Linked DNA regions of Stegostoma tigrinum. The protein of the gene in region 4 purifies or fractionates together with the protein of the main gene of each other region. This does not show direct contact. Links are inferred from orthologs where the notes say so. Each region holds a gene or a part of one and is shown on either strand. Other genes may lie near its edges. The genes, in order: mta2, kifc1, polr3c and kpna2.

Region 1 (7,721 bases), on a different chromosome or scaffold from region 4:
CTGGATGGGGTGGGGGTTCGGGTGGAGTTGGGACTGGGTGGGGATATGGGGTAGAGTTGGGACTGGGTGGGGGTGGGAGTAGGACTGAGTGGAGATGTGGGGGTTAATTTGGAACTGGGTGGGGTTGGAGTTGGGATGGGATGGGGATGTGGGATGGGGTTTGGGACTGGATGGAATGGGGGTGAAGTTGGGACTGGGCTGGGTGAGGGGTGTGAGGTGTGAGGTGGGGGTAGAGTTGGGACTGGACCGGGAGATGGGGTGCGGGTGGAGTTGGGACTGGGCTGGGTGAGGGGTGTGAGGTGGGGGTGGAGTTGGCATTGGGTGGGGGTGAGGATGTGGGGTGGAGTTGTGACTGGGTGGGGGTGGGGGTGGGGGTGTGGGGTGGAGTTGGGACCAGGTTGGGATGGGGATGGAGTTGGGACTGAGCTGCGTAAGGGGTGTGAGGTGGGGGTGGAGTGGAACGAGGTGGGGGTGGAGTGGAACTGGGTGGGTGGTGGGGGGTGGAGGTGTGGGGTGGCATTGGGACCAGGTTGGGGTGGGGGTGGAGTTGGGACTGGGTGCGGATTTGGGGTGGGGGTGGAGTTGGGACTGGTTGGGAGTGGGGGTGTGGGGTGGTGTTGGGACTGGTGGGGGTGGGGGTGTGGGGTGGTGTTGGGACTGGTGGGGGTGGGGGTGTGGGGTGGAGTTGGGACCAGGTTGAGGTAGGTGTGGAGTTGGGACTGGTAGGGTGGATGAGGGGTGTGAGGTGGGGGTGGAGTTGGGACTGGGTGGAGGTGTGGGGTGGAGTTGGGACCAGGTTGAGGCAGGGGTAGAGTTGGGACTGGGTGGGGTGGATGAGGGGCATGGGGTGGGTTGGAGTTGGGACTGGCTGAGGTGGATGAGAGGTACGGGGTGAGGGTGGAGTAAGGACTGGGTGGGGGTTGTAGTTGGGGTGACTGGGTGCGGGTGTGGGGTGGCATTGGAACCAGGTTGAGGCGGGGGTAGAGGTGGGACTGGGTGGGGATGGAGTTGGGACTGGGTGGGGGTGGGGTTGTGGGTGGAGTTGGGACCCAGTAGGGGTGGGGGTGGAGTTGGGACAGGGTGGGGGTGAGAGCGTGGGGTGGAGTTGGGACCAGGTAGGGGTGGGGGTGGAGTTGGGACTGGGTGGCGGTGGTAGGTGGGGAGGAGTTGTGACTGGGTGGAGTTGGGCTGGATGGGGATTTGGGGTGGGGATGGAGTTGGGACTCGGTGGGGTGGATGAGGGGTATGGGGTGGGGGTGGAGTTGGGACCAGGGTAGGGTGGATGAGGGGTGTGGGGTGGAGTTTGAACTGGGTGGGGTGGTGGTGGAGTTGGGAGTGGCGTGCGGGTGGAGCTGGGACTGGGTGGGGTGGTGGTGGGGGATATGGTGGGGACAGAATTAGGACTGGGTATGGGTGAGGGTGTGGGGTGGTGTTCGGACGAGGTAGGGTCAGGGTGGAGTTGGGACTGGGTAGGGTGGATGATAGGTGTGGGTGGAGTTGAGACTGGGTGGGGTGGATAAGGTATGTGGGGTGGGGGTGGAGTTGGGACCAGGGTAGGGTGGATGAGGGGTGTGGGTGGAGTTGGGACCAGGGTAGGGTGGATGAGGGGTGTGGGTGGAGTTGGGACTGGGTGGGGTGGATGAGGGGTGTGGAGTGGGGGTGGAGTTGGGACCAGGGTGGGATGGATGAGGGGTGGGGGTGGAGTTGGGACTGGGTGGGGTGGTGAGGTATGTGGGGTGGGGGTGGAGTTGGGATGAGGGGTCTGGGGTGTGGGTGGAGTTGGGACCAGGGTAGGGTGGATGAGGGGTGTGGGGTGGGGGTGGAGTTGGGACTGGGTGGGGTGGATGAGCGGTGTGGAGTGTGGGTGGAGTTGGGACTGGGTGGGGTGGTGAGGGGTGTGGGGTGGGGGTGGAGTTGGGACTGAGTGGGCTGGTTGAGGGATGTGGGGTGGGGGTGGAGTTGGGACTGTGTGGGGTGGATGAGCGGTGGGGGTGTGGGCGGAGTTGGGTCTGGGTGGGGTGGATGAGGGGTGTGGGGTGGGAGGGAGTGGGGACTGGGTGGGGTGGTGAGGGGTGGGGGTGGATTTGGGACTGGGTGGGGTGGAAGAGGGGTGAGGGTGGAGTTGGGACTGGGTGGGGTGGTGAGGGGTGTGGGGTCGGGGTGGAGTTGGGACTGGGTGGGGTGGTGAGGGGTGTGGGGTCGGGGTGGAGTTGGGAGTGGGTGGGTTGGTGAGGGGTGTGGGGTGGGGGTGGAGTTGGGACTGGGTGGGGTGGATGAGGGGTGTGCGGTGGGGCTGGATTTGTGACTGGGTGCAGTTGTGGTGGTGGGGTGGCGTTGGGACTGGGCAGGGTTGATGAGGGGTCTGGGGTGGGGGTGGAGTTGGGACTGAGTGGGCTGGTTGAGGGACGTGGGGAGGGGGTGGAGTTGGGACTGGGTGGGGTGGATGTAGGGTCGGGGTGGAGTTGGGACTAGGTGGGGTGGATGAGGGGCGGGGGTGGAGTTGGGACTGGGTGGGGTGGTGGGGTGGTGAGGGGTGTGGGGTGGGGGTGGAGTTGGGACTGGGTGGGGTGGATGAGGGGCGGGGGTGGAGTTGGGACTGGGTGGGGTGGTGAGGGGTGTGGGGTGGGGGTGGAGTTGGGACTGGGTGGGGTGGATGAGGGGTGTGTCGTGGGGGCGGAGTTGGGACTGGGTGTGGTGGATGAGGGGCGGGGGGTGGAGTTTGGACTGGGTGGGGTGGATGAGGGGTGTGGGGTGGGGGTGGAGTTTGGACTGGGTGGGGTGATGAGAGGTGTGGGGTGGGGGTGGAGTTGGGACTGGGTGGGGTGGATGAGGGGTGTGGGGTGGGGGTGGAGTTAGGACTGGGTGGGGTGGATGAGGGGTGTGTGGTGGGGGTGGAGTTGGGACTGGGTGGGGTGGTGAGGGGTGTGGGTGGAGTTGGAACCAGGGTAGGGTGGATGAGGGGTCTGGGTGGAGTTGCGACTGGGTGCGGTGGTGGTGGTGGGGTGTGTTGGGACTGGGTGGGGTGGATGAGATGTGTGGGGTGGGGGTGGAGTTGCAACTGGGTGGGGTGGATTAGGGATGTGGGGTGGGGGTGGAGTTGGGACTGGGTGGGGTGGATGAGGGGTGTGGGGTGAGGGTGGAGTTGCGACTGGGTGGGGTGGTGGTGGTGGGTTGGAGTTGGGACTTGTGGGGTTGATGAGGGGTCTGGGGGGGTGGAGATGAGACTGGGTGGGGTGGTTGAGGGATGTGGGGTGGGGGTGGTGTTGCGACTGGGTGGGGTGGATGAGGGGTGTGGGGTGGGGGTGGAGTTGGGACTGCGTGGGGTGGATGAGGGGTTTGTGGTGGGGGTGGAGATGGGACTGGGTGGGGTGGATGAGGGGTGTGGGTGGAGTTGGGACTGGGTGGGGTGGATGAGGGGTGTGGGGTGGGGGTGGAGTTGGGACTGCGTGGGGTGGATGAGGGGTGTGGGTGGAGTTGGGACTGGGTGGGGTGGATGAGGGGTGTGGGTGGAGATGGGACTGGGTGGGGTGGATGAGGGGTGTGGGTGGAGATGGGACTGGGTGGGGTAGTGAGGGGTGTGGGGTGGGGGTGGAGTTGGGACTGGGTGGGGTGGGTGAGGGATGTGGGGTGGGGGTGGAGTTAGGACTGGGTGGGGTGGGTGAGGGATGTGAGGTGGGGGTGGAGTTGGGACTGGGTGGGGTCGATGAGGGGTGGGGGTGTAGTTAGGACTGGGTGGGGTGGATGAAGGATGTGGGGTGGGGTGGGTGAGAGGTGGGGTGGAGTTGGGACTGGGTGGGGTCGATGAGGGGTGGGGGTGTAGTTAGGACTGGGTGGGGTGGATGAAGGATGTGGGGTGGGGTGGGTGAGAGGTGGGGTGGAGTTGGGACAGGGTGGGATTGGGAGCCTGGGGTGGAGTTGGGACCAAATAGGGGTGGGGCTGGAGTTGGGACTGAGTGGGGTGGATGAGGGGTGTGGGGTGGGGGTGGTGTTGGGACTGGGACTGGGTGGGGTGGTGAGGGGTGGGGGTGGAGTTGGAACCAGGGTAGGGTGGATGAGGGTGTGTGAGTGGAGTTGCGACTGGGTGCGGTGGTGGTGGGGTGAGTTGGGACTGGGTGGGGTGGATGAGGGGTGTGGGGTGTGGGGTGGGGGTGGAGTTGGGACTGGGTGGGGTGGATGAGGGGTGTGGGTGGAGTTGGGACTGGGTGGGGTAGTTAGGGGTGTGGGGTGGGGGTGGGGTTGGGACTGGGTGGGGTGGAGGGTGGGGAAGAGTGACTCCCGTCGCCGGCCCCGCGCGTGCGTCCTGGTGACAACCGCCAAACGTCCCTCGCGCACATTCCCGCCTCCGCGCCGGCTGCCGCGCGCTCCCCCGACTGCGCGCCGGGCAACGTCACGCCGCCGCGTGCCTGCGCTCACTCCGAGTGCGCACCATCGCGTCACTCTGTCGGGCGCTCGCGCTCACCCCAAGTGCGCACGCTCGCTTCACTCAGGCGCGTGCCCGCGCTTATTCCGTCCGAGCACGTTGCCGCGTGACTGCGCGTTACCTCCCCTCTTCGTCCCCCGCCGCGTGCCCGCGCACTGCCCTCCTCCCCCCCTCCTTCCCTCCCCCGGTAGGGGCTGGCCCGGGAGGGGGAGGGAGGGTTCGCTCTTTCCCCTCGACAGAGAAGGAGGGCCCGGAGTAAGAGGAGGAAGAGACCTCCCTCTCCCTCCGCCCGTCTGCCCGTGTCTGCTCCGGGAGGGAGGGACGGCGATCCGCCAGGGAGAGGAGCTCGGCCTCAGGGAGAGAGACCGGGAGGGCGACATGGCAGCCAACATGTACAGAGTGGGAGGTGAGTGAGTTGAGTGAGTGAGTGAGGGTGGCCGGCCCGGCGCTCAGCCATCGCTGCCTCTCTCTGTGTGTGTCTCACCGGAGGAGGGAGGCTGGGACTGGGGACAGAGAGCCTGAGAAACAACAAAGTGCCAGGCAGCAGCTATAAGCCAAACTTTACAACAAGAGGCAGACATGGAAGAGGAAGACAGCAGCTCGAATCAGTGCACCAAGGTGGCGGGGTGGTGGTTTGGGCTCAGACTACAGCCGGCAAGTAGGGGAGAGGGGCTGAGAGGCCGAGGGGGCATGGGCGGGTGGAGGCAGTTGGGGGAAATGTGGTGGCCAGGGACTTGGGCATGTGGGTTATTGGGAGCCAGGGGCCATGGGGGATGGGCTAGGGGGCCCAAACAGGACCCATGGATAGGGCAATGTGGTGGGTTGGGGGCAATGGCCAGATTGAGGTAGTTGGGGTGAAGGGTCATACAGGGGCTGTGGATGGGCGGGGGTTCGGCAATGGGACAAACAAGGGCAAGGTACAAGCAGGGTAAACAGAAACCAGGGCTAAAAAGCCCACTGGGGCAGAGGCTAGGGTGAGTGGCCAAAATCTGGGGTGAACTGCAAACCGAGGCCCAAAACAGGGGCCAGGTGTTAACAGAGCTTTGGGGGTACAGGTTAGCATGGGATTTGGGGATCAAGGCAATTGGCAAACTGGCACCAGAAATAAGATTACAAGCAACTAGGATTTGGGGGTTGGGATGTTAATTGAATCAGAATTTTAGATTTTGGGTAGTTGGGTGTGAAGGGCAAGCCAGGTCTGAACTGGGACAGGATGGGGCGGGGGAGCTCAGGTAGGGTTTTGGGATCAGGCCAAGGGATAAGTGGTGGCTTAGTGGGTCAAGGATTGGGACACGTGCGGAATTCTTGTTTAGAGATCAGACAAGTGAATGGAGAGGCAATGGACAAGTGGTATTGTCACTGGACTGTTAATCCAGAGACCCTGGATAACATTCCTGGGACCTGGGTTCGAATCCTGCCATGGCAGATGGTGGAATTTGAATTCAGTTAAAAATATCTGGAATTAAGAATCTAACGACCATGAATCCATTGTTGATTGTTGGGAAAACCCATCTAATTCACTAATTTTCTTAAAAGAAGTAAACTGCCAGCCTTACCCGGTCTGGCCTAAATGTGACTCCAGACCCACAACAATGTGGTTGACTCTTAACTGCCCACTGAGCATTTAGGGATAGGCAATAAATACTGCCTGGTCAGTGACACCCTCATCCCATTAACTAATGATAAGAAAAAAGAGTAAAATGTCCAGTGATTATGAGACGGACAAGTCAGTGTTTGGGAATGGGGGCGAGAAGTGATTTCGGAGCTTTGGGATCACAATAAAGGGTGAACATTTGGGGACTGAGGTGAGGGACAAACTGAGGCCAGAGACCAGGGCGAGGGCAGTCCAAGATGAGAGGTGCACTCAAGTTTGGAGGTGGAGGTGATGATTAAGTTGTGGGCTTATGATTAAAGTTAGGAGTAAGTCAGTGTTTAGGGATCAGTGGAGGGCTCTGTGGTCAGGAAACATTAAAAAGAGGGTCAGCATGTAAAGGTGCTGAACAAATATTTGAAATTGAAATAAGGATGGCATAATGACAAAATTTGTATGATAAGCTAAAGAAGGATTTCAAACACAAGAATACTTGCCAAATAAAATTAGGTAATAGTCAAAAAGGGGTTTGGAGGTGGGGGTATGTTGTCAGATTTTTGTAGATTTTGGCAGAAGTTCAGGTTGGGGGAGGGGGTTTGGTGGGCATGTTTAGTTGTATACCTCATTGGGATAGACCTGGCACAAGGAGAGTTGGGTTCTCAGTGATAAGCAGCAATCAGGAAATATGAAATAAAAGCCAGAGATTAGAGGCTAAAACTGACAAATGTATACGTGAAATTCTTACAACATGCGGGCAAGCTGAGGAAAGAGGTGAAACTGCTGGAATGAAAGTCGAGATGAGTCAGGATAGAGGCAACAGCAGTCATTTTGGGGTGGGAATAATAACATACAGTCAGGGATAAAATGGAAGGAAGGAACATTTCAAGGTTTAAAGATCAGTGGATCAAAAAGGCTCTGATGTTGTGTGGAGTAAGAGCTAAAAAGAATCAAGGATGTATCAAGCCAGAGCCATACAACTCCATGACCACTGTGTTTGGGGGTTGGGGAGCATGTGGAGGTGTAGTTTGTAAGTTTTGTGAACTGAGGTTGACTTTTGAAAGGTTCCTGTCTAAAATCCCAGTCAGAAAAACAAGATGCAAATTCTCTGTTCAGAGCAGCTGTGGCCCTAATAATGTACCAAAAATCTCTCTCAACCAACTTGAATCCTGACCAAGTACAAGAGACTGCTGAAGGACCAGGGACAAATCATAGTTGGGGAACTTAAAAATTCACCTGGTATGGACAACTTGTCAAGAAAACTTGTGGTTGGGTCGCGGGTGCTTCTGAGTCGAGGGGATGTTTGTGGTTTTACAGAGTGAAGAAGATACAAAATTTTGATGGCCTCACTGCCCATGAGAGGGAATCGGAAAATTAAGGAGCGACTGGCTTTTGACTGTGACAGGATGCCAAAGGTGGGGGCATGTATAGAGTCTCGAACAGCTGTGTGTCTTTGCAGTCTATTAGCCTTGATGTGGGCTGGGGGTGTTTCTTTCAGTACATGCTGGCGACGTGCTCTGCATGTTCACGGACCCGGCTGACTTACGGAGGATGCGCAAGTGCCAGAGGTCTACCCTGTGGCATCGTCCTCGGCAAGTATCAACTGGAGTAAATTTTAGGGACCTTTGGTCGCTCACTGGCAGGTGGACTCCCTCTAAAGGAGCTCTGGTACTTCGTGTGCGATACCATTCAGCCTCTCTACCTGGGAGTCCA
Region 2 (7,023 bases), on a different chromosome or scaffold from region 4:
AACAACAACCCTGCGTTACCATAGTGACCCAGCACTACAGCAACAACCCTGCATTACCATAGTGACCCAGCACTACAGCAACAACCCTGCATTACCATAGTGACCCAGCACTACAGCAACAACCCTGCATTACCATAGTGACCCAGCACTACAGCAACAACCCTGCGTTACCATAGTGACCCAGCACTACAACAACAACCCTGCATTACCATAGTGACCCAGCACTACAACAACAACCCTGCGTTACCATAGTGACACAGCACTACAGCAACAACCCTGCATTACCATAGTGACCCAGCACTACAACAACAACCCTGCATTACCATAGTGACACAGCACTACAGCAACAACCCTGCATTACCATAGTGACCCAGCACTACAACAACAACCCTGCATTACCATAGTGACCCAGCACTACAACAACAACCCTGCATTACCATAGTGACCCAGCACTACAACAACAACCCTGCATTACCATAGTGACCCAGCACTACAGCAACAACCCTGCATTACCATAGTGACCCAGCACTACAGCAACAACCCTGCATTACCATAGTGACCCAGCACTACAGCAACAACCCTGCATTACCATAGTGACCCAGCACTACAACAACAACCCTGCATTACCATAGTGACCCAGCACTACAGCAACAACCCTGCGCTACTGCAGCAACAAACTGACACTGCAACAAAAACCCGGCCCTACAAAATACAACAACTACCCCTTCACTACAACAACAACCCGGGGCTATAGCAACCCTCGGTACAACAACCTGGCTCTCTTAACAAGGCAGCACCACTACTGCAACAACAACTTGGCCCATCACCAACAGCAGACCTCGCCAGTTCCACAGCCCTCGGTACAGTAAGAAACACACATATTGCCATGACAATACAACAACAACAAGCCCGCGGTGTCATAGCTGCAGTTCGCCCGCCCCCACCACACGCCATATTGAAGAGGACAGGATGATCCTGGTTAATGACTCTAAGCTGGCTTTTTAAAGCGTGCTGACTCTGTGAAGTGTATCAAGGAGAAGCTCCAGGTCAATCCCCTGCTCATCCTGCTGGCAATCTGAGAGGCAGCAGACCCATCTCCCCACACCTCGCCGACAGATTGAAGCTCAGGTTGGGCTGGCGAAGGGTGCCAGGCCAATGGAAAAGAAAGAGAATGTCGAAGACCCCATTTCTGAGGAGTCTGAGGATGACCACAAGACTAACAGGAAGACCAAGCCTGAGCCGAGCCCTGCTCCTGAAAACCTGAGCCTCAAACATAGGGTGATATTGTGTGCTGACCGGGTCTTCCTGTGCCTGTTAGTGTTGCTGCTGGTGGTTCTCTCACTCGAGGTAATCTACAAGATCTGGTACATCACCAACTGGAGAGCCGTCCTCAACTTCCTCAGGGACCTGGCCAGCTACCTGTCCGAACAGCCGGAGGAGGAGGAGGTGATCGAGCTGTAACTGGTACCTGTGCAACAGGGTACGGTCTCCAGCCCTTTCTCACCCCGGCACAGCGCTGACACAGCCTCCGAGTCAGTACCTGGCACTGAACCACTTTCCTCAGTGATCGGAGGGTGCTGCGATGCTCAATGGCAAGGTGGAGAGTGGGACGCACCACCGGTATCTATATTACCTGAAGCTTTCAGACAGTCAGATTATAGACCAGTATTTAAAACCTTTTCCTGTACCTCTACCTGTTCCTGCTCCCAGGGAACCTACACTGAAAAGATGCAAGACTCAATTCAAAACATTTGTGGATGCCAAATATTCCCAAATGGTAGTGCTCCGGACTGAAGGATTTACAATGTTTTAGATGGCAAAGACCATTCCCTGTGTGATTATGTGTCAACCGTCAACTGGCTTGTGTGTGTGTGTTTGTGACTGTGCGTGTCAGTCTTTGTCAGCACTGTGTGTTTCTGTCTGTGTATTGGCACTGTGTAACTCTGTATGTGTGTATCTTTGAGAGTGTATATCTCTATTTGTCACTGTCCGTGAGCATCAGTATGTCTGTCCTTATAAGGGTCTGTACCTGTGTGAGTGTCTGTATATGTATGTATGTGTGTGTCTGTGTGTTTCTGATCCTGAATGTCTGTACCTCTGTATGTGTTTCTGTCTGTGTGTCTTAACCTGTGTAACAATCTGTTTGTGTGTCTCTGAGACTCTACACCTCGGTGAGTATCTCTGAATCTGATTCTGTAAGTATCTGTACCTCTGTGAGTATGTGTGTCTGTCACAGTGTCTGCTCGTGTGTGTGTGTGTGTGTGTGTGTGTGTGTTTGTGTGTCTGAGCATCTGAATCTGTGTATGTGTCTTTGTCTGTGAGTATCTGTGAGTCTGTCTCTGCGTGTGTCTGTATCTGTTTGTGCATGTGTCTGTATGTTTCAGTGTGCTTGTGCGAGTATCTGAGTATCTGCACTTATGTGAGTGTGCGCGGTTTTCTTCTGTGTATGTGTGTCTGTCTGTGTCTGTGAGTGTGTGTGTGTGTGTGAGAGAGAAAGTTTGTGTGTGTGAGAGAGAGGTATGTGTGCATGTGCATGTGTGAGAATGTGTGTGTGTCTGTGTGAGAGAGACAGAGTTTGTGCGCATGTGTGTGTGTGTGCGCATGTGTGTGTGTGTGCGCATGTGTGTGTGTGTGTGTGTGTGTGTGAATGAGTTGGACTGGAACATGTTGGAGATGGGAGTCCTGTTCCCTGGGAATGGATGAGAATCGCTGGCCACCCTGGGACCAATTCAAGACTGAAGACAGAAAGCCAGTAGCTATGCCTGGGAACTGAGGCCGGTCTCCAGGACAACGCAGCATTCTGAGCTCCGGACCTATTCACAAACTTGAGTCATTAAAATGCCGCACTTTGAATGTTCTGCCATTGGGAACATTGGTTTTGTCACTGAGGACCTACCCATTAAAGACCAAGACTGGATTAAAACTGCTACCTGTACTTCAGAAATGGTTGATTCAAACTGTATACAGGCTCCCGAAAATGAGACAGCTTTCTATTCAGACTGAGGCTCACTCTCCTGGGTTCTGCAGACAGAATCTGATGGTTTAGTTCATGAGTGGTTCCAGACTACATCCAATTAAATTTGCGTTGAGCTCCCTCCCGAGAGCTACGTGTCTCTGTACAATCTCTGATCTGGGGGAACAGATTCCTGAAAGCACCCCTGCATTGTCACCATCCTGATTACAGGCCACCTTTCTGTGATCCCTGTATCAGAACACCCTTAACAGTTCAATGTTTCACCCCTTTGAAAAATCCTTCTCTTTGTCCATTCATACCAGAGGGAGTCACTTACCAAATAACCCTGTCCCTAACTCTTCAGCAGCCTCAGTAGCTACTCCTCTCAGACTCCCTCTACTCATTCAAACTGACGCTAAAGCTCCCTCTACACTGTCCCCCATCAAACACTGACAGGACAGGGACAGGACGAGATTAGAGACAGAGTAAAGCTACCTCTACACTGTCCCCCATCAAACACTGACAGGACAGGGACAGGACGAGGTTAGAGACAGAGTAAAGCTTCCTCTACACTGTCCCCCATCAAACCCTCCCAGGATGGGACAGAATGGGGTTAGATACAGAGTAAAGCTTCCTCTACACTGTCCCCCATCAAACACCCCCAGGACGGGTCAGTACGGGCTTAGATACAGAGTAAAGCTTCCTCTACACTGTCCCCCATCAAACACTCCCAGGAGGGTTAGATACAGAGTGAAGCTTCCTTTACACTGTCCCCCTCATACCCAGGAGTGAGACAGCAAGTGGTTAAATGCAGAGTGAAGCTCCCTCTACACTGTTAAACTGAAAGTAAAATTCTCTCCACTGTTTTAAGCTGAAAATAAGGCTGTCTTGTCAATGTCCCTATTAAACATTCCTGGGACAGAGTAGCCTGTACATAGTGCCTTCTCCTTCTAAGATGTTCCTATTAAGGGGTAAATCGATGTGAAGGCTCCAGCACTCAGCCCCTCAGACCCTTCCTCCCCTCTGCTGGGAACTGCCAAGAGTTGCCTGTAACTGGCTGAGCAGGAATTTATTGGGTTCTATCCCGTGGTGTGAGCTGGGAGGAGTTTACAGACAGAAAATCATGCTCCCTTAGTTAGCAGAGTGGGACTCGAAGACAGGGCTTCTAGCTCAGAGCCAGGGGCACTACCCACGATACCAGGAAACCCCATGGTTTTGTAAACACTACATGGGGATCATGTAAACACAGTGTACAGCGCTGGTCCTTGGTGCCTGAATGAACTGCACCAACATTCTGTCGCCATCGTACTGGAGTTGTTTTCCAAAAAGTTTTTTCCTCATCAACAGGAAATATCTTTGAAAGAACCATGTGTGCAGCAGCCAGATTGGATTCAACCCCTACAGCGCATAAAGAGGCCATTCAACTCAACTAGTCTGCACTGACCCTCCAAACAGCATCCCACCCATCCCCATCCCCCCAGCCTATCCCCATAACCCCACATTTCCATGGCCAATCCATCCCAACCTGCACATCCCCGGGCACTACGGGACAATTTAGCACGGCCAACCCACCCTGACCCGCACATCCCTGGGCACTACGGGACAATTTAGCACGGCCAATCCACCCTAACCTGCACATCCCTGGGCACTATGGGACAATTTAGCACGGCCAATCCACCCTAACCCGCACATCCCTGGGCACTATGGGACAATTTAGCACGGCCAACCCACCCTAACCCGCACATCCCTGGGCACTACGGGACAATTTAGCACGGCCAATCCACCCTAACCTGCACATCCCTGGGCACTATGGGACAATTTAGCACGGCCAATCCCACCCTAACCCGCACATCCCTGGGCACTATGGGACAATTTAGCATGGCCAACCCACCCTAACCCGCACATCCCTGGGCACTATGGGACAATTTAGCACGGCCAATCCCACCCTAACCTGCACATCCCTGGGCACTATGGGACAATTTAGCACGGACAATCCCACCCTAACCTGCACATCACTGGGCACTATGGGACAATTTAGCACGGACAATCCCACCCTAACCCTCACATCCCTGGGCACTATGGGACAATTTAGCACGGCCAACCCACCCTAACCCGCACATCCCTGGGCACTATGGGACAATTTAGCACGGACAATCCACCCTAACCCACACATCCCTGGGCACTATGGGACAATTTAGCACGGCCAATCCACCCTAACCTGGACATCCCTGGGCACTATGGAACAATTTAGCACGGCCAGTCCACCCTAACCTGCACATCCCTGGGCACTACGGAACAATTTAGCACGGCCAATCCCACCCTAACCCGCACATCCCTGGGCACTACGGGACAATTTAGCACGGCCAATCCACCCTAACCCGCACATCCCTGGGCACTACGGGACAATTTAGCACGGCCAATCCCACCCTAACCTGCACATCCCTGGGCACTACGGGACAATTTAGCACGGCCAATCCCACCCTAACCCGCACATCCCTGGGCACTACGGGACAATTTAGCACGGCCAATCCACCCTAACCCGCACATCCCTGGGCACTACGGAACAATTTAGCACGGCCAATCCCACCCTAACCTGCACATCCCTGGGCACTACGGGACAATTTAGCACGGCCAATCCCACCCTAACCTGCACATCCCTGGGCACTACGGGACAATTTAGCACGGCCAATCCACCCTAACCTGCACATCCCTGGGCACTATGGGACAATTTAGCACGGCCAATCCACCCTAACCCGCACATCCCTGGGCACTAATGGTAATTTACCACGGCCAATCCCACCCTAACCTGTCCACGTTTGGACTGTGGGAGGAAATGAAAGGAAACCCAAGCAGACACGGGGAGAACATGCAAACTCCACGCAGACCGTCGCCTGAGAATGGAATCGAACCCAGGTCCCTGGCCCCGTTTGGCAGCAGTGCTAACCGCTGAGCCAACTGTCATGAAATGATAGACTTACTGTGATATACACCTGATCTTTCATTGAGTATTCTTCACCCAGTGTCATGCAGGTGAGAGATGGTCACCACCAGCTGCTGAAGGGTAGAACAGGAGCCAATCCTTCTACAGTTACACACTGCAAATGTGCACCACCTGACACAGTGACAGTCACAACTGCTCGGACTGAAAAGATTTCTCATCAGCCCTTTCAGATGTGTTAGTGCTCACCTCCAGAGCAAGTGGGCCTCCTGGCTCAAAGTAGGGACACCGCCGCCCCACTACAAGAACGCTTTCACAGCACTGAAAGGGGCACGAGCGAGAATCCCCAGCAACTCGCACACAACGGACGTGTGACTGATAGCCATTTTCACTGCAGCTATCCGTTTTCCACCTCAGAGTGCGCACGGTCAGAAGGTCCCAGTTCCAGAGCCCTGGAGGCTTCTCACAACATTGAAACTCAGATAATGTTCTGGGGTCCCAGGTTCGAATCCCACCGTGGCAGATGGTGGAATTTGAATTCAATAAAGAATCTAGAATGAAGAGTCCAACAACGACCATTGTCTAATGTCGGGAAAAACTCATCTGGTTCACTCATGTTGTTTAGGGAAGGAAACTTCCATCCTTACCTGGCCTGGTCTACACGTGACTCCAGACCCACAGCATCGTGGTTAATTCTTAACTGCCCTCTGGGCAAAAATACTGGCCCAGCCAGCAACACCGACATTCCATGGGTGAGTAAAGAAAGTCTCTGAAAAAGAGGTGGATAGATTCTTGGTAAGTGGGGGAAGTGGGGGGGGTGCTCAAATATACTTAGAGTAAGTGGGATTGTGGAGTCAATAACAATCAGATCAGCTGGGATCTCATAGGGATCCGGCTCATGGGCCAAATGGCTTACTCCGGTTCCTAAATCAGAAGTGTGAGTACGCTGCTGTGATATCGCTTCTTTCCAGACACCACCCAGCAGGTCTCTACCGTATATACGTATTATATATATAGAATCCAATGGTACTGCCAATGGGAGACTGGCCAGATTCAGAGAGTGAAGGCAACAATTTGAATAGGATAGCGAAGCCTCTGGCAATTCTAACTATTTCCAGTGACTATTTCCAGT
Region 3 (7,478 bases), on a different chromosome or scaffold from region 4:
TCACAGAATCCAAACTAACTCGAAGCAATGGGTATCAGGGGAAAACTCTCTGCTGGTTGGAGTCAAACCTGGCACACAAGAAGATGGTTGTGGTTGTTGGAGGTCAGTCAACTCAGCTCCAAGACACCTCTGCAGGAGTTCTCCAGGGTAGTGTCCTAAGCCCAAATATCTTCAGCTATTTCAACAATGACCTCCCCTCCATCATGAGGTTAGAAGTGGGGATGTTCAGCACCATTCATGACTACTCAGATACTTAAGCAGTCCATGTTGAAATGCATCAAGTTCTGGATAATATCCAAGCTTGTGCTGACAAGTAGCAAATAACATTTACATCACACAAATGCCAGATAATGACCGTCTCAAATAGGAGACAATCTGCTCACAACCTTGCCATTCGATGACATTAACATCACTGAATGCCATGCAGTCAACATCCTGGGGTTATCATTGAACAGAAATTGAACTGGACCAGCATTATAAATTCTGCAACTATAAGAGCAGGTCAGAGACTAGAAATCTTCCAGTGAATAACTCACCTCCCAATTCCCCAAAACCTGTCCACTATCTACAAGGCATAAGTCAAGAGTGTGATGGAATATCCCCACTTTCCAGAATTCGTGCAACTCCAACAGCACTTAAGAAGTTTGACACCATCCAGGACAAAGCAGCACCTCTGAGTGGCACTACATCCACAAGCATCCACTGAGAATAGCAGCAGCAGTGTGTACTACCTACAAGATGCACTGCAGATATTCAACAAAGATCTTTAGACAGTACCTTCCAAACCCATGACCACTTCCATTGAGGAGGGCAAGGGTAGCAGATACATGGGGTCACCACCATCTGCAAATTTTCCTCCAAACTACACACCATCCTGACTTGGAAATATATCATTGTTCCTTCACTGTCACTGGGTCAAAATCCTGGAATTCCTACTCTGAGGACACTATGGATCAACCTACAGCACACGCACTGCAACAGTTCAAGATGGCAGTTCACCATCACCTTCTAGAAACAATAAAATGCATCCACAGTAACGTTACAAATGCAAATTTATACTTAGGGACTGAAGGAAAACCAGAAATTATATAGATTCTGATTTGAAGAGGTGTTTTACCCCAAGATTTCTTGGAAATGATGTTAGTGATTTTATGGCCTGCTGTTTTCAGACGACAAGTGACTTTGCAGAAAAGACCAGCAATGTTTTGAGCGACATGAGAAATGGTTTATGACCTTTGTTTGCTGGAATAACCAGGCTTGACAAAATTTTGGGAGCTCTCTGCCATTGGCGGCTTATCAATCCTTTCTGGACTTAGTTTTCGGTTTTTCAGACTGAAGTGGTCAATAGAAAGTAACCCAAGATTCTATAAGTCTCTCCCTATTTCTTTCAGCAGAGTTGGCCTGAGAGCCTAATCAAGTTTCAACATACAGATATTTCTATCTTACAAACCCCGGAAGGCTGAACTGTGACCAGTTTCCAAAGACTTGGTTCCACCTTGGTTTCAAACTGAACTGAAAATCTTCTATCAGATAACAACTGAGTCCAATTTGAATTCAGAGACAGGAAATTCAGTGGAAATTATTAAATCTTGTAGGCTGCTCATCAATAAAATGGAAGGAATCAAACTAAGATGAACCTCAGCAAAAGCAAAATAAAAACAGTAACACTAACACATTGAATACATCTGAGGTGACTTGGACAGAGAGACCAATTAATAATTTTAAAGATACTAAGAGTGCTGGATTAACATCAGCAGAGATACAGTCACTGACACAGGGCGCTGGGGAAAACAGTTTAATTTTATTCACCTATTGGATGTGGGTGTTGCTGACTCGCCCATCATTTGTTGCCCATCCCTAGTTGCCCTTGAGAAGTGTTGGATGAGCTGTCTTCTTAAGCTGCTACAGATAGACCCACAATGCTGTTAGGGAGGGAGTTCCAGGACTTTGACCCAGTGACAGTGAAAATCAGTGATATATTTACAAGCGAGGATGGTAAGTGGCTTGGAGCAGAGCTTGCAGACGGTGTTGGTGTTTCCACGTTGTCTGCTGCCCTTGTCCCTGGGGAGTTACTTGCAGCAGTATTCCTAGTCTCTGACCTGCTCTTCTAGCCACAGTGTTTATATGGCAAATCCAGCTGAGTTTCTGGCCAATGATAACTCTCAGTATGTTGACAGCAGGGGATTCAGTGATGGAAATGCCAAGGGGCAGTGGGCAGATTGTCTCTCATTGCTTGGCATTTATGTGGCGTGATCATTATCTGCCACTTTTCTGCTCAAGCCTGGATATTGTCCAGGTCTTGCTGCATTTGGACACAGACTGTTTCGGGGTGAGGGGTTACTGAGTGACAAATGGTGCTCAACATTGCACAAGCATTGGTTAATGTCCCCACTCTGACCTTATGATGAAGGGAAGGCCATTGATGAAGTCACTGAAGCTTGTTGGACCTAGGACACTACCCGGCGGAATTGTTACTGAGTGACTGTAACTGGATTATTATCAGTACAGATAGAATCAGGAACACCAAGCGCTGGGGAAGTGGGAGGTGGACCACTTTTGATGGAGATACAGTCAGTTACATTTTTAATGCTGGGAAGAAGAAGGGTTACGGAATGACAATGCAAGGGAGTTTGATGATATCAGAAGAGATGCAGTCAGTAACATGGGTTCGGGGGGAGATGGGTTACTGGTTGACAGTGTGAAGGACCTTCTGACATCAAAACAGATAGTTAGAAACTAGAATTTTAAGAGCATATCGATTTAACATCATTATTATTTAAACTCATTCATATTTTTAACATCCAGAATTACAGCCTGTTCCACATTCCATAAGCATCACTGTTTAAGGCAGTCCAAGCATTTAGTCAGTCTCCACAATACAGTCACCATCAAATTTTGCACAATTATTCAGACCACTACTGAGTTGCTCACTGAGTAATTTGATGTACCCATCCTATTACAAGGGCCATAATCAACACAACCATCACACTCAACCCTTGCAAAAGCAAACATAACTCTGGGCCAATGTTTGAACGCAAGAACATAATTCATTGGAGGAAAGCCTTGGCTAGGACTCGCTTTGCACCAGGAGGAATAAAATGTATTTGAAGACTGTCAGCTCTGGACTGGGAGGAGATGGGAGATGGAGGTCTCCATGGAGATGGTCACCATGGGATGGGGGAGATTAATCTCCAATGATGACCATGGTATGGAGAGCTCAGTCTCCATGGCGACTGTGGGAGGGGTAAGGGGAACAGACAGTCACCACAATGAGCACTGAGGGATGGTTCAGTCTCCATGGTGACCCTGGGAATGTCGGGGGCGCGTGTTCAGTCCCCATGGGATGTAGCGGGGTGTTAAGTCTCCTTCAGTCTTCAGTGGTGGGGGGAATCAGTCTCCATGGTGACCATGGGAATGATGGGATCAGTCTCCAGGGTGACCATGGCGGGGTTGGGGGGGGGATCAGTCTCCATGGTGACCATGGGGATGGGAGAAATCAGTCTCCATGGTGACTATGGAGGGTTGGGGGATCAGTCTCCATGGTGACCATGGAGAGCTGGGGGGTCAGCCTCCATGGTGGGCTGGGGGATCAGTCTCCATGGTGACCATGGAGGGCTGGGGGGAATCAGTCTCCATGGTGACCATGGTGGGGTTGGGGGTATCAGTTTCCATAGTGACCACGGAGATGGGGGGAATCAGTCTCCATGGTGACCATGGGGGATTGGGGGGATCAGTCTCCATGGTGACCATGGGGATGGGGGATCAGTCTCCATGGTGACCATGGGGGGGTGGGGGGGATCAGTGTCCATGGTGACCATGGGGATGGGGGATCAGTCTCCATGGTGACCATGGGGGGGTGGGGGGGGATCAGTGTCCATGGTGACCATGGGGATGGGGGATCAGTCTCCATGGTGACCATGGGGGGGTGGGGGGGATCAGTGTCCATGGTGACCATGGGGATGGGGGATCAGTCTCCATGGTGACCATGGGGGGGTGGGGGGGGATCAGTGTCCATGGTGACCATGGGGATGGGGGATCAGTCTCCATGGTGACCATGGGGGGGGGTGGGGGGATCAGTCTCCATGGTGACCATGAGGAGCGGCGGATTGGGTTAAGATTGCGGAGTATCCCCCTCCCCCTCCTGAGGCTCGGGTTGACTGATAGTGATTCCTCCCCGGTGAAGACCAGCAGTTTCCCGGAGCAAGGGGGACGAGGCAGTATACGCTGGGCTCGGGGCCTGTCTTACCGGTAGCTTGGGGCACACCTCTCCCTTGCAGCAGTGACAGAAGAAGCGAAGCGGAGACACAGCCGCCGCCTCCGCCATCTTATCCGCTGACGTCAGCGCCCTCCCGGAAAGCCCCGAGCTACCCGGAAGTGGACTCTGGAATTTATGAGGTTGGGGGCACGCCGCCATCTTGGTGCGGGGCACAAACCGGATGTTCCTGCGGTATCGGGTCAGTAGGAACCAAAGTATCCGGAACATAAAGACCATCACTACCGGAAAGGGACCGTGAGGAAGTGGGGGCTTTGGTCCCAGGAGGGAAATAGAAGGAGGGAGAGCACTTCGTAGATTGCAGTGAGTTTTAGCTTTAGTAAAGCTTCGGCTACACGATGTCCCCTCACCCCCCGTCCCCCCATCAAACACTCCCAGGGACAGGGACAGCACGGGGTTAGATGCAGAGTAAAGCTCCCTCTACACTGTCCCCCATCAAACACCCCTAGGGACAGGGACAGCACGGGGTTAGATGCAGAGTGAAGCTCCCTCCATCCTGTTCCTGTCGGCTGTCTGAATGTCACTAGCCCACTTCGTATGAAAATACTGTGATGCTGGGAGTCTGCAATGAAAACAGTGAAGTGTTGGAGAAACTCAGCAGCTCCACCGGTAACTGTGGAGACAGAGAAGCAGAGTCACTGTTTCCAGTCCCCTTCAGAACCTGTCAGATTCAGACTGACAGCTTTAACTCTGCTTCTCTCTGCCAGGCACTGCCGGAATTTCTGAGTTTCTGCTGCACTGTCTGTTCCTGTTCCCTTCACATTTTTTCCTGCTGTTTTCTTTTCCTCAGACTGAAGGTATTGTTTTAGCAGTCTCTGACTTCGAAGTTGTTACTGAATTAGTAGTGATTCATGTGGTTTTGCAGGACGGACTCTGATGAGATTGAACCTAATCAGGAATGACACACGTTGAGTCACAGATCTGCTCCTGCTTGCTCCAGGCACACTACGGTGAAATTGTAGCCAAAGTTGGCACCCACCTAATTCGCACAGGATGCCAGCCTCTCCGGCTAATTGCCAAAGATACTGAAACGCCGATTGATCAGGTGTGTGTTTGTGTGGGGTCGGGGGTGGCGGGTGGGTGCTGGTAGAGAGGGGGTGTGGTGGTGCAGTTTGCTGCTAAGGGCTGATGGGAGTTGAAGGAATGGCACCAATCTGAGATAGCTGATCAGACTCTTCCATAGCTAAGAGAAAAGCTTACTATAGCTGGCCACATAAATTTCCAGACTCTGTGTGTGCCATTGACAGGATGAGGAGTGGGACATGGTGAGATCACAGCATGGCTGGAAACTGGGCCTTGGCTAGCAGACGGGTGTCAGTGGTACATGTAGAGGGGAAAGTTTGGTGTACAGGGACCTTGACTGTCGTACTGCAATGTTCCAGGTTAAGAAAGCTCTCTGCGTCTTGATCCACCACAACTTTGCTTCCTATCATGTGCACAAGAGGGGCTTTGTAGAGTATGAAGTGCACTGTGCACACATCATTCGCATCCTGCGATACCCACGCTATATCTACTCAGCTAAGACACTGTACGGAGACACAGGGGAGCTGATTGTGGAGGAACTGCTGCAGAATGGCAAGATGACAATGAGTGCAGTTGTGAAGAAAGTGGCCGACAGGCTGAGAGAAACAATGGAAGGTGAGAGTGCATGAAGGAAGAGATGGAGGCTGCAACTAGCATTCGAATGTAGAGGAGGGGAGGGGAGGGGAAAGAGGATCCTGGCAGGGAGTATATGTGAGTTTGTGACGAAGGAAAGATCAGTAGCAAAGACTATACTGGGATCAGGGTGGGGGTTGCATGTGTACAGACTGAGGGGATGTGTAAGAGGGGGTCTTGTACAGGGGAGGAGTTGTGTATGGTGGGGGGAGGGGGAGCCACATACGGGATGGTGGGAGGAGGTGGTGTGTGTGGTGGGGGCCTGCATACTGTGGGGATGAGGGAGCCCACGTGTGGAGGGGAGGGGGAGTCGTGTACGCTGGGCCTGGGGGGGGAGGGGGAGTTGTGTACGGTGGACAGGGGGTGAGGGGAGGGGAAGTTGCGGACGGTGGGGTTGTGTGGGGGAGGCCGAGTCATGTATGCTGGGGCTGGGAGGGGGGAGGGGGAGTTGTGTACGGTAGGCAGGGGGTGAGGGGGTGGGGTTGTTATTGTTCTGAATGGTGAGCACAGTCTTACTGGCTAATGCTTCATCTGGGTAGTGTTTCTCACGTCCTTGGCTCTTCCTCTGCACAGACAGTAAAACCGGGGAACACAGTGAGACCTCGAATACCTTCATCCGATTGGTGCAGACCCACTTCCTGCAGAAATGTGCCCTGGTCTCTGAGTGTGTGGTTGCTGAAGGCTTGCAGCCCCCTCATGCTCCAACACTGGTCACTGATGAGAAAGAGATGTACACTGTGCCCCATCTCAGTGTTGTTGGTAAGGTGTCACAAACCTGCTCTCTGCTTTCATTCAAGGCTTGTCCAAAGCTGGGAAGCTTTTCCTTCATCAAAAACAGAAATTGCTTGAGAAACCCAATAGGCCTGGCGCCATCTGTGAGGAGAAAGCAGAGTCAGCGCTTGGGGTCCAGTGAACCTTCCTCCGAACCGATAGTAACTGGGAGCAGGTGGTCTGTATGCTGAAGATGGGGGAATGGGGTGGTAGAGTAAGAGAAGGAGTGAGAGGATTGGTGGAGATGGAGCTCTGAGGGACAACGAGATGGCTGATAGTAAACTAGAGAGAAAGAAAAGCTGATAACTGGGTGAGTGATAAGTGAATGAAAATGTTGGCTCTGCTAAAAGCAGCCTTTGCCATGATAGGTCCTGGGGTGTGGGATTTGCTAAAGGACATAGAAACTTATTGAACTCAGTATTGAGTCCTACAGGGTCCCTAAGCAGAAAATGAGGTGTTCTACTTCCAGCTTGTGCTGAGCTTTGCTGGAGCACTGCAGCAAGCCTGACACAGAGATTTCGGCCAGGGAACATGGCAGGGTGGGGAAGCTCAGGGTCACTTTTACAAACAGAATGGAAGACCTCATTGTGAGCAGTGAATACAGTTGACTAGATTGAATGAAGTGCAGTAAATCGCTGCAAGATGTGCCGAGGACTTTGGATAGTGAGAAGCGAGGAAGGAAGCAGATGAGTGTTGCACCTTCTGTGATTGGAGGGGAAGGTGCTGTGGCAGTGTGGTGTGGTGTTGTAGGTGGACCAGGGAGTTGTAGAGAGAAAGG
Region 4 (7,725 bases):
CCATAGTGTTAAGAGCTTAGGTGGTGAGGAATTTGTTAAATGTATTCAAGAAAATTTTCTTTATAAAAATGTAGATGTACTTACGAGAGAAGGTGCAAACCTTGATCTTCTCTTGGGAAATAAGGCAGAACAAGAGACTGATGTGTTTCTGGGGGAGCAGTTTGGGACCAGTGATCATAATTCTTGAACTTCCAGAAGTTGATTGGAATAGACTATTTGCAAGTAAAGGGATGACTAGTAAATGGGAGACTTTCAGAAGTGAGATTATGAGAGTTCAGAGGCATTATGTTCTTGTTAGATTGAAGGGTAAGGCTGGTAACAATGGATGAATAAAGATATCAAGGCTTTGGTCAAGAATAAGAGGAAATCATATATTGGGTATAGACAACTGGGATCTAGAATCTCTTGAAGAATATAAGGGGTGTTGGGGCATTCTTGAGAGAGAAATCTGGAGGGCAAAAAGAGAGATGAGATAACATGAGATAACTTTGGCAGATAAGATTAAGGTTAATCCAAAGAGATTCTACAAGTACATTAAGAGCAAAAGAGCAGCTACTGAGAGAATAGGGTCCCTTAAAAATCATTGAGGTCATCTATGTGTTGAACCACAGGAGATGGGAGAGATAATAAATGTGTCAGTTTTTACTGTGGAGAAAGACATGGAGGCTTGGGAAATAAATTTTGATGTCTTGAAAACAATCCATATTGTGGAAGAGGAGGTGCTGGGGGTCTTAAAAAAAACACAAAGATGGATAAATCTCCAGGCCTGATGAAGTATATCTCAGGACATTTTGGGAAGTTAGGGAAGAAATTACAGGGCCCCTAGTATAGATATTTATATCATCTGCAGCCAAGGATAAGATGCCAGAGGACGAGATGGTGGCTAATGTTGTGCCTTTATTTCAGAAAGGCTGTAAGGAGAAGCCTGGGAACTATAGATTGGTAAGTCAGATATCAGTGGTGGGCAAGTTTTTGGAGGGGATTCTGAGAGATAGGATTTACATGCATTTGGACTAGGATAGATCGTTCTGTTCAAGATCTGAGATCATAGATTCCCTACAGTGTAGAAGCAGGCCATTCAGTCCATAAAGTCCACACTAATCCTCTGAAGAGCATCCCACCTAGACCGAGCCCGTACCCTATCACGAAATTTCCTTCCCCAGACATCATGGGCTATTTAGCATTGCCAATCCACCTAACCTGCACATCTTTGGACTGTGGGAGGAAACCCACACAAACACAGGGAAAATGTGCAAACCCCGCATGGACAGTCACCCAAGGCTGGAATTGAACCCAGGTCCCTGGTACTGTGAGGCCACCATGCTGATAGTTCCGTTCAAGATTAGGAATGGTTCTGATCAAAACTATTCAAGATGGCAGCAGTGGATAAGCACTGTCTGGGATTTTGTGCCCAGATCTCATCCATTCTGCCAGCTTTCCTTTTTCTGTTTTTATCTTCTTTTCTCTTTTTTTAAGTAGTTTCTTAATTACCTTTTGGATGCTGTGGAGGCAGCGGCAGCAAAAGAACATGCCAGTGGCTGGGCCCCAATGTGACAGTGAGACAACAATTGGCAGCTAGCGGCAAAGGATGGTGGCAGCAGTGATGTGGTGGTTGCGGCCAAAGCCTTGTGAGTGCTGATGAAGCCTGATGTGCCTGGGCAGGTCTTGGCCCAGCACAGCGTAAGCATTCCCAGCGCTAGGGAGAGTGATGTGTCTTGGGGAAAGCCCAGCTTTAAGCATCTGTAGGCCCATAGCTTAAGACTGTAATGCTTGACATTTTAACTTTATTTTTCTATTTTTCAACATTTATGCTAAGTGCACTGTAGTGCTGAACTTTTTAAACTTATTACTTTATATTTCTATTTCTGTAACTAAAATTTTGTACCTAAGTACTTTGTACATAAGATGGCACCATATGTGGTGACGTTGTACACTTTTCACTGTGCTCTTGTGCCATGTACTTGAGTACACATGACAATAAAACCTAAATCTAGATCTAAAATCAATTGTTTGTCATTTATATAAACTATTTGGATGAGAATTTAGGAGGCATATTTAGTAAGTTTGTGGATGACACCAAAGTTGGTAGTGAAGAAGATTATCTAAGAATACAAAGGTTCTTGATCAATTGGGCCAATGGCTTGAGCAGTGGCAGATGGAGTAAAATTTGAATAAATATTATTGCATTTTGATAAAACAAACACAGGCAGCACTTATACACAGGCAGCACTTATACAGTTAATGATATGGCCCGGAGTAGTGTTTTCGAACAGAGAGACTTAGGGATCTAAGGATTAAAGTTCTTTGAAATTTGCATCACATGTAGAAATGATGGTTAAAAAGGTGTTTAGAATGCTTGCATTCATTGTTCAGACCACTGAGTATATCATGCTGAGGTTGTACAGGGTTTTGGTGATTTGATTTGATTTATTATTGTCACATGTACCTTGGTGCAGTGAAAAGTTTTGTTTTGTGTGTAGTACAGGCAGATCATATCATACAAAGTGTATAAGGGTAATAGAACAGAACAAGGAATACAATGTTATGCTCAGAGAAGATACACAAAGAACACGATTAACATTAAATTTAAAATTTGAGAGATCCATTCAGAAATTTAACAACAGTGGCGAAGAAGACATAGTAAGAACTGCTGATGCTTGAGTCTGAGATAACATAGTATGGAGCTGGAAAAACCTGAAGATTTCTGAAGAAAGCTCCTGACCCGAAATGTTAGCTTTCCTACTCCTCTGATGCTGCTTTGCCTGCTGTGTTCTTCCAGCTTCACACTATGTTAATAGTGGGGAAGAAGCTGTTCTTGAATCTGTTGGTTCATATGTTTAAGCTTTTGTACCTTCTGCCTGATAGAAGAGGTTGGAAAAGAGTATAACTGGGGTGGGCTTTGATTATGTTGGCTGCCCTCCCGAAACAGTGTGAAGTATAGATAGAGTCAATGGATGGAAGGTTGGCTTGCACGATGTTCTGAGCTGTGTCACAACTCTCTGTAGTTTCTTCTAGTTCTGGGCAGAGCAGTTGCCATACCAAGCCATGATGCATCCAGATAGAATGCTTTCTATGTTTCATCTTTAAAAATTGGCAAGAGCCTTTATAGACATGCCAAGTTTCCATAGCATCCTGAGGAAGAAGAGGCATTGTTGTGCTTTCTTGACTGTTGTATCAACATGGATTGTTGGTGATTGCCACGCCTCGGAACTTCACTCTTGGCTATCCCTAACTCAGCACGATTAATGTAGATAGGGGAGTGTCCTCCACCTTGTTTCCTGAAATCAATGACCAGCTCTTTCATTTTTCTAATGTGAAGGGAAAGATTGTTATCTTCACACCATGCTACCAAGCACTGTGTCTCTTTCCTGTATTCTGTCTTGTCATTGTTTGAGATCCAACCTATAGTGGTGGTGTTGTCAGCAAACTTGTTGATGGAGTTAGGATGAAATTTGGCCACGCAGTCACAAGTGTACAGGAATTATATTAAGATGCTAAGGCATGTTTTTGGAGGACTGTCTACAGTACTGGACTTCCTTCTATAGGAAGAATATTGTTAAATTGGAGATGGTTGAGAAAAGATTTGCCAGGATAGATGAGGTGAATAGCAAAGGTCTTTTCCCTGGGGTGGTGGAGTTCAAAACTGGGAGGAAATTTTAAGGTGAGAGGAGAAAGATTTAAAAGGAACCTGAGAGGCAACTTTTTCATACAGAGGGCGTTTTGTATGTGGAATGAACTACCAGAGGAAGTGGTTGTTGCAGGTATAGTTACAACATTTAAAAGACATTTGGACAGGTACGTGAATAGGAAAGGGTTAGAGGGACATGGGCCAAATGCAGGCAAGTAGGACTAGCTTAGTTTGGGAAATGCGGTATGCGTGGGTGAGTTGGACTGAAAGGTCTGTTTCTGTGCTGTTTGACTCTATGACTCAATAACTGTTATGGACTGTCCTACACTGGTGTGTAGCAGTATGACAATGAGCTACACTTGAGGCCATTGTTCCTTGCACTGAATGAGAAAAACAGGGTATTGTTAGTGATATATTTCCACATCTCTCATATGTATGGCAACAAGTGCCACAGCCCCACCTCATGCCCCCAGAGTTATTACACGTTGACCCTGTGCCAAACTATTCTTTAAATGTTTTGCCAGGAACTGGTCTCTCAGGAAGTTTTGGTGGGGTTGTGGTTAATAGTAGGACCAAGATATGAAAATCAACTTCAAGGAGAATCACTCAGTGTGAGGTTGCCACTGGTAGTGGGGGAATGGGGAAGGACCAAGCACAGACTCCTTTGCCGTAAAAGTTCGAAGGCACAGGACATAAAACTATGTTATCCTGTATGAATTACTGAGCGGTCAACCACACATAACTTGAGAGGTTTTCCGAAGACGTTGCAAAAGAGACAAAGACGTGACTTTAGTGAGTGTTTCCAGCAATTTTTATTCCTAAATCAGCAGTATTTTTAATACCACGTGGAAGAACAAAAGAGTAAAGAGGAAGTAATGTTTCGAGCTCCTTTAACGCGCAAAACAACAAAAGACCGCGCCAGAGACGGCGCTATGCACGGAGTAGTATTTTTAATATCCTTTACTTGATTGGCTGCGCGGTTGGTATGGGAATCCATCCAACCGCATCCTCAGCTTCTTTCAAATCAGCCAATTGAAATATTGCTTTGAATCGAATGAACCAATGGGAGCCGGGCAACTCAGCCGGTTTAAATAGCTGGAGCGGCTTCCAAGCTTGCATTTCTGTTGGTAATAGTGTTTTACTAGCGGAAGGTTATAAGTTGTAAACGGCTTGCTTTAATATTGCAGTTAAGTGCACTTTGTAAATCTTGTGATTAGTTCAACTGCTGTTCTCGTTTAATAGCGATAAGTTTTTTTTCCTTTTCACGACTAATTAAATTCCAGTAACCTTAACGGAAAATCTCCCCTTTAAATCTTTGTCTCAGCTTCCGCAAGTATGTAAGACTTGTTCATCTTTCGCTGTAAATGACTTTTGTCTAAACAGGCAATTAATCTAAATGCTGAAACGTAATTGTTGCTAACTTTTTAATCTGGATGCAGTGTAATTTTTTTAAAAAGAACAAAATTGTTAATTTTTCTACGTTGTAGCATCTTTCCAAAGTGTCTAAAAATCTTCCCCGCCTGTCGAAGCACGCTTTCTGTGACTAACTCTTGTCTACTTTGTTTCGTACAGTTTTTGCCAAGTTAATTCAAGTTGAAATATGTCAACCACGGCCAACGAGAACGCCTTCAGCCGCCTGATCAAGTTTAAGAACAAGGGGAAAGATGCTAATGTAAGATGGTATTATTTTAAGCTTTTTCGTAACTTTTATCATCGCCATCAATACATGGCCTAATTTTGGTTCCATTTTCCCTCTCCACTCCTTTTTAAAAGGAGTTGAGACGCAGGAGAATTGAAACCAATGTTGAGCTGCGGAAAGCTAAAAAAGACGACCAGCTGTTTAAAAGGAGGAACGTGAACAATTTTCCTGATGAGAATGTATCTCCACTTCAAGAAAAGAACAATATCCAGGTACTGTATTCTCGAAGGAATCCTGTTTTAAAATTCATGACTTGCTTTTTGGCTACTAAAAACTTTGCTGTTTTCATGAAAATCAGGTGCCTTTGAATTTGGATGAAATAATCCAAGGTATCCAGAGTAATAATTTGGAAACTCAACTCCAAGCAACTCAGGCTGCCAGGTAAGAATGGGTGTCTCCCATTGTAGTTAGAAATTTTAAATGTAAAATACCTTGAGTCTTTTGAAAGTAATGCAGAGAATTCAAGCACCAGTTATGGGACACTGGGATATGTTTAAAGGAACCAGTCCATGTCTGTCTGCAATCGCGATACTGGGAGTAAAAATACTTGTATCTTGTCACTTCAGGACTATATTTGAGTGGGTTTTTTGTGTAATAGTGCTATACTAATTTTTTTCAAACTGGCTGTTGGAGTTTTAAAAAATGGATTTGCCAATTTTGGAGGGAATGATATTTCACTAGTGATTTTGGAGTCTATTTTTGGTTCACGTGGCCAGTGTTCGGTCAAAATGAGGCTGTCTAGCACTACCTCCTTCATGTAATAACTGAGCCCTGATCTGATTCCTGCATATGTTTGGGTTTCACTAAAACTTGAGGCTTCGTTTTGCCCATTTCTATCTTTTGTAACACTGACTCTAGTTCCAGACTCCAACTTTGCACCCTATCTTATGCCTTGTTTATATACTGCTCAGGTTGCACCTCAGCCTGTGCTCTTGTGAAAAATCTTTTGTCTAATCCCTTGCTAAAGCTAATGTATTCCGATCCAGCCAGCATCAGGTAAAAGTGATAATGGGAACTGCAGATGCTGGAGAATCGTCAGCTTTTGTGCTCCTGAGGTGCTGCTTGGCCTGATGTGTTCATCCAGCTTCACACTTTATTATCTTGGGAACTGCAAATGCTGGAGAATCCATTATCACTGATACAATTTTAACCTCACTGCAAAGCCTCTTCCAGGGATGCCTAACCTGAAGTAGTTACCCTCCTCCCTCTGGAGGATGAAGGGTCTAGGCCTGAAACGTCAGCTTTTGTGCTCCTGAGATGCTGCTTGGCCTGCTATGTTCATCCAGCTCCACACTTTATTATCTAGTATCAGGTAAAATCTTTTTTGCACCTTCAAAACTTCCACATCTTTCCTATAGAGTATCAGAACTGCACAAATACCATTTTAGGTCATGCAAGATGCTCTCCAACCTACAATTGACAAAATTGACTTTTCACCAGCTAATTGGTAAGGTAGTCCAATTGTATAAAGTTCTTTATCTTAAACAATTGTTAATAATGAGGGATAATACCTAGGATTTTTTGGACCAAAATTTTAAGAACTGATTTTAGTCTTTTCTGTGCTCTTTCTGGCCAGAGGGTTGATTTCACAACCATTCTGTTGGTGTTTACATTGTATTACAAGTCAGACAATAGTTGTCAGTACACTTTTTTAAGCTGCTTTTTCTTTTCAGGAAGCTGCTTTCTAGGGAGAAACATCCTCCCATTGACAAAATTATTCAAGCTGGGCTCATCCCCAGATTTGTGGGATTTCTTGCTACTTTTAATTGTAGCCCCATCCAGTTTGAAGCTGCATGGGCCCTCACCAACATAGCGTCTGGAACATCTGATCAGACTAAGGCTGTTGTTGATGGTGGTGCAATACCAGCATTCATCAATCTGTTGGCATCTCCACATCCACATATCAGTGAACAAGCAGTATGGGCTTTAGGAAACATTGCAGGTAACTAACTACTTTTTAAATATAGAAATGTTCGTTCTTTGCAAAATGGAGCATGTAAATTGGCTGACTGTTGCCCTAGTAGAACAGCTAGTAGAAATTAACGTTTTTTAAAAAAAAACTAATTAATGTAATGTGGAAATCACTGGCTATATGGCACTTTATTCTTTCCTCCTGCCTTTCCCCTAACACCCTTGGACATGGCAGTGTACAGCCTTCAATGACTGAAGTCTCTAATCACCTAGTGTTAGAAAGATAGTTTTTCAGGGTTTTGATTCAACAATCGAGCTTAAACTCTGGGTAGTATGCCTTGAAGAACTCTTAAGGGTTATGGAGAAGGGCAAAACTGCTCAGCAGGTTCAAATTCTAAATTGGGGTAAGCCTTAATTCTATGAAAATTTGAGGAGCTTTCATGGATTGACTTTTGAGTAGTTTGCAGACAAAGGGACTCCTGGCAAG

Evidence for each region.
Region 1: the proteins of kpna2 (region 4) and mta2 purify together in Homo sapiens (affinity purification with mass spectrometry; 4 studies listed by BioGRID and IntAct, with this or other methods). This does not show direct contact. The link is inferred for Stegostoma tigrinum from reciprocal best matches to the Homo sapiens genes KPNA2 and MTA2.
Region 2: the proteins of kpna2 (region 4) and kifc1 purify together in Homo sapiens (co-immunoprecipitation; 4 studies listed by BioGRID and IntAct, with this or other methods). This does not show direct contact. The link is inferred for Stegostoma tigrinum from reciprocal best matches to the Homo sapiens genes KPNA2 and KIFC1.
Region 3: the proteins of kpna2 (region 4) and polr3c purify together in Homo sapiens (co-immunoprecipitation; 3 studies listed by BioGRID and IntAct, with this or other methods). This does not show direct contact. The link is inferred for Stegostoma tigrinum from reciprocal best matches to the Homo sapiens genes KPNA2 and POLR3C.

Annotation. Positions count from the first base shown.
Region 1 is NC_081395.1:3,146,362-3,154,082, forward strand, and holds the start of mta2 (metastasis-associated protein MTA2), read left to right. Parts: upstream 1-4,714; 5' UTR 4,715-4,798; coding exon 4,799-4,826; intron 4,827-7,721. UniProt on the Homo sapiens protein: May function as a transcriptional coregulator. Acts as a component of the histone deacetylase NuRD complex which participates in the remodeling of chromatin.
Region 2 is NC_081387.1:28,152,343-28,159,365, forward strand, and holds the start of kifc1 (kinesin-like protein KIFC1), read right to left. Parts: upstream 3,005-7,023; 5' UTR 2,931-3,004; intron 1-2,930. UniProt on the Homo sapiens protein: Minus end-directed microtubule-dependent motor required for bipolar spindle formation. May contribute to movement of early endocytic vesicles. Regulates cilium formation and structure.
Region 3 is NC_081400.1:582,325-589,802, reverse strand, and holds the start of polr3c (DNA-directed RNA polymerase III subunit RPC3), read left to right. Parts: upstream 1-4,474; 5' UTR 4,475-4,576; intron 4,577-5,138; 5' UTR 5,139-5,171; coding exon 5,172-5,318; intron 5,319-5,655; coding exon 5,656-5,911; intron 5,912-6,502; coding exon 6,503-6,688; intron 6,689-7,478. Other genes in the region: rnf115a (E3 ubiquitin-protein ligase RNF115), read right to left, coding at 4,247-4,324. UniProt on the Homo sapiens protein: DNA-dependent RNA polymerase catalyzes the transcription of DNA into RNA using the four ribonucleoside triphosphates as substrates.
Region 4 is NC_081375.1:10,522,326-10,530,050, forward strand, and holds the start of kpna2 (importin subunit alpha-1), read left to right. Parts: upstream 1-4,723; 5' UTR 4,724-4,814; intron 4,815-4,820; exon of another isoform or gene 4,821-4,961; intron 4,962-5,200; 5' UTR 5,201-5,228; coding exon 5,229-5,300; intron 5,301-5,401; coding exon 5,402-5,539; intron 5,540-5,625; coding exon 5,626-5,708; intron 5,709-7,000; coding exon 7,001-7,269; intron 7,270-7,725.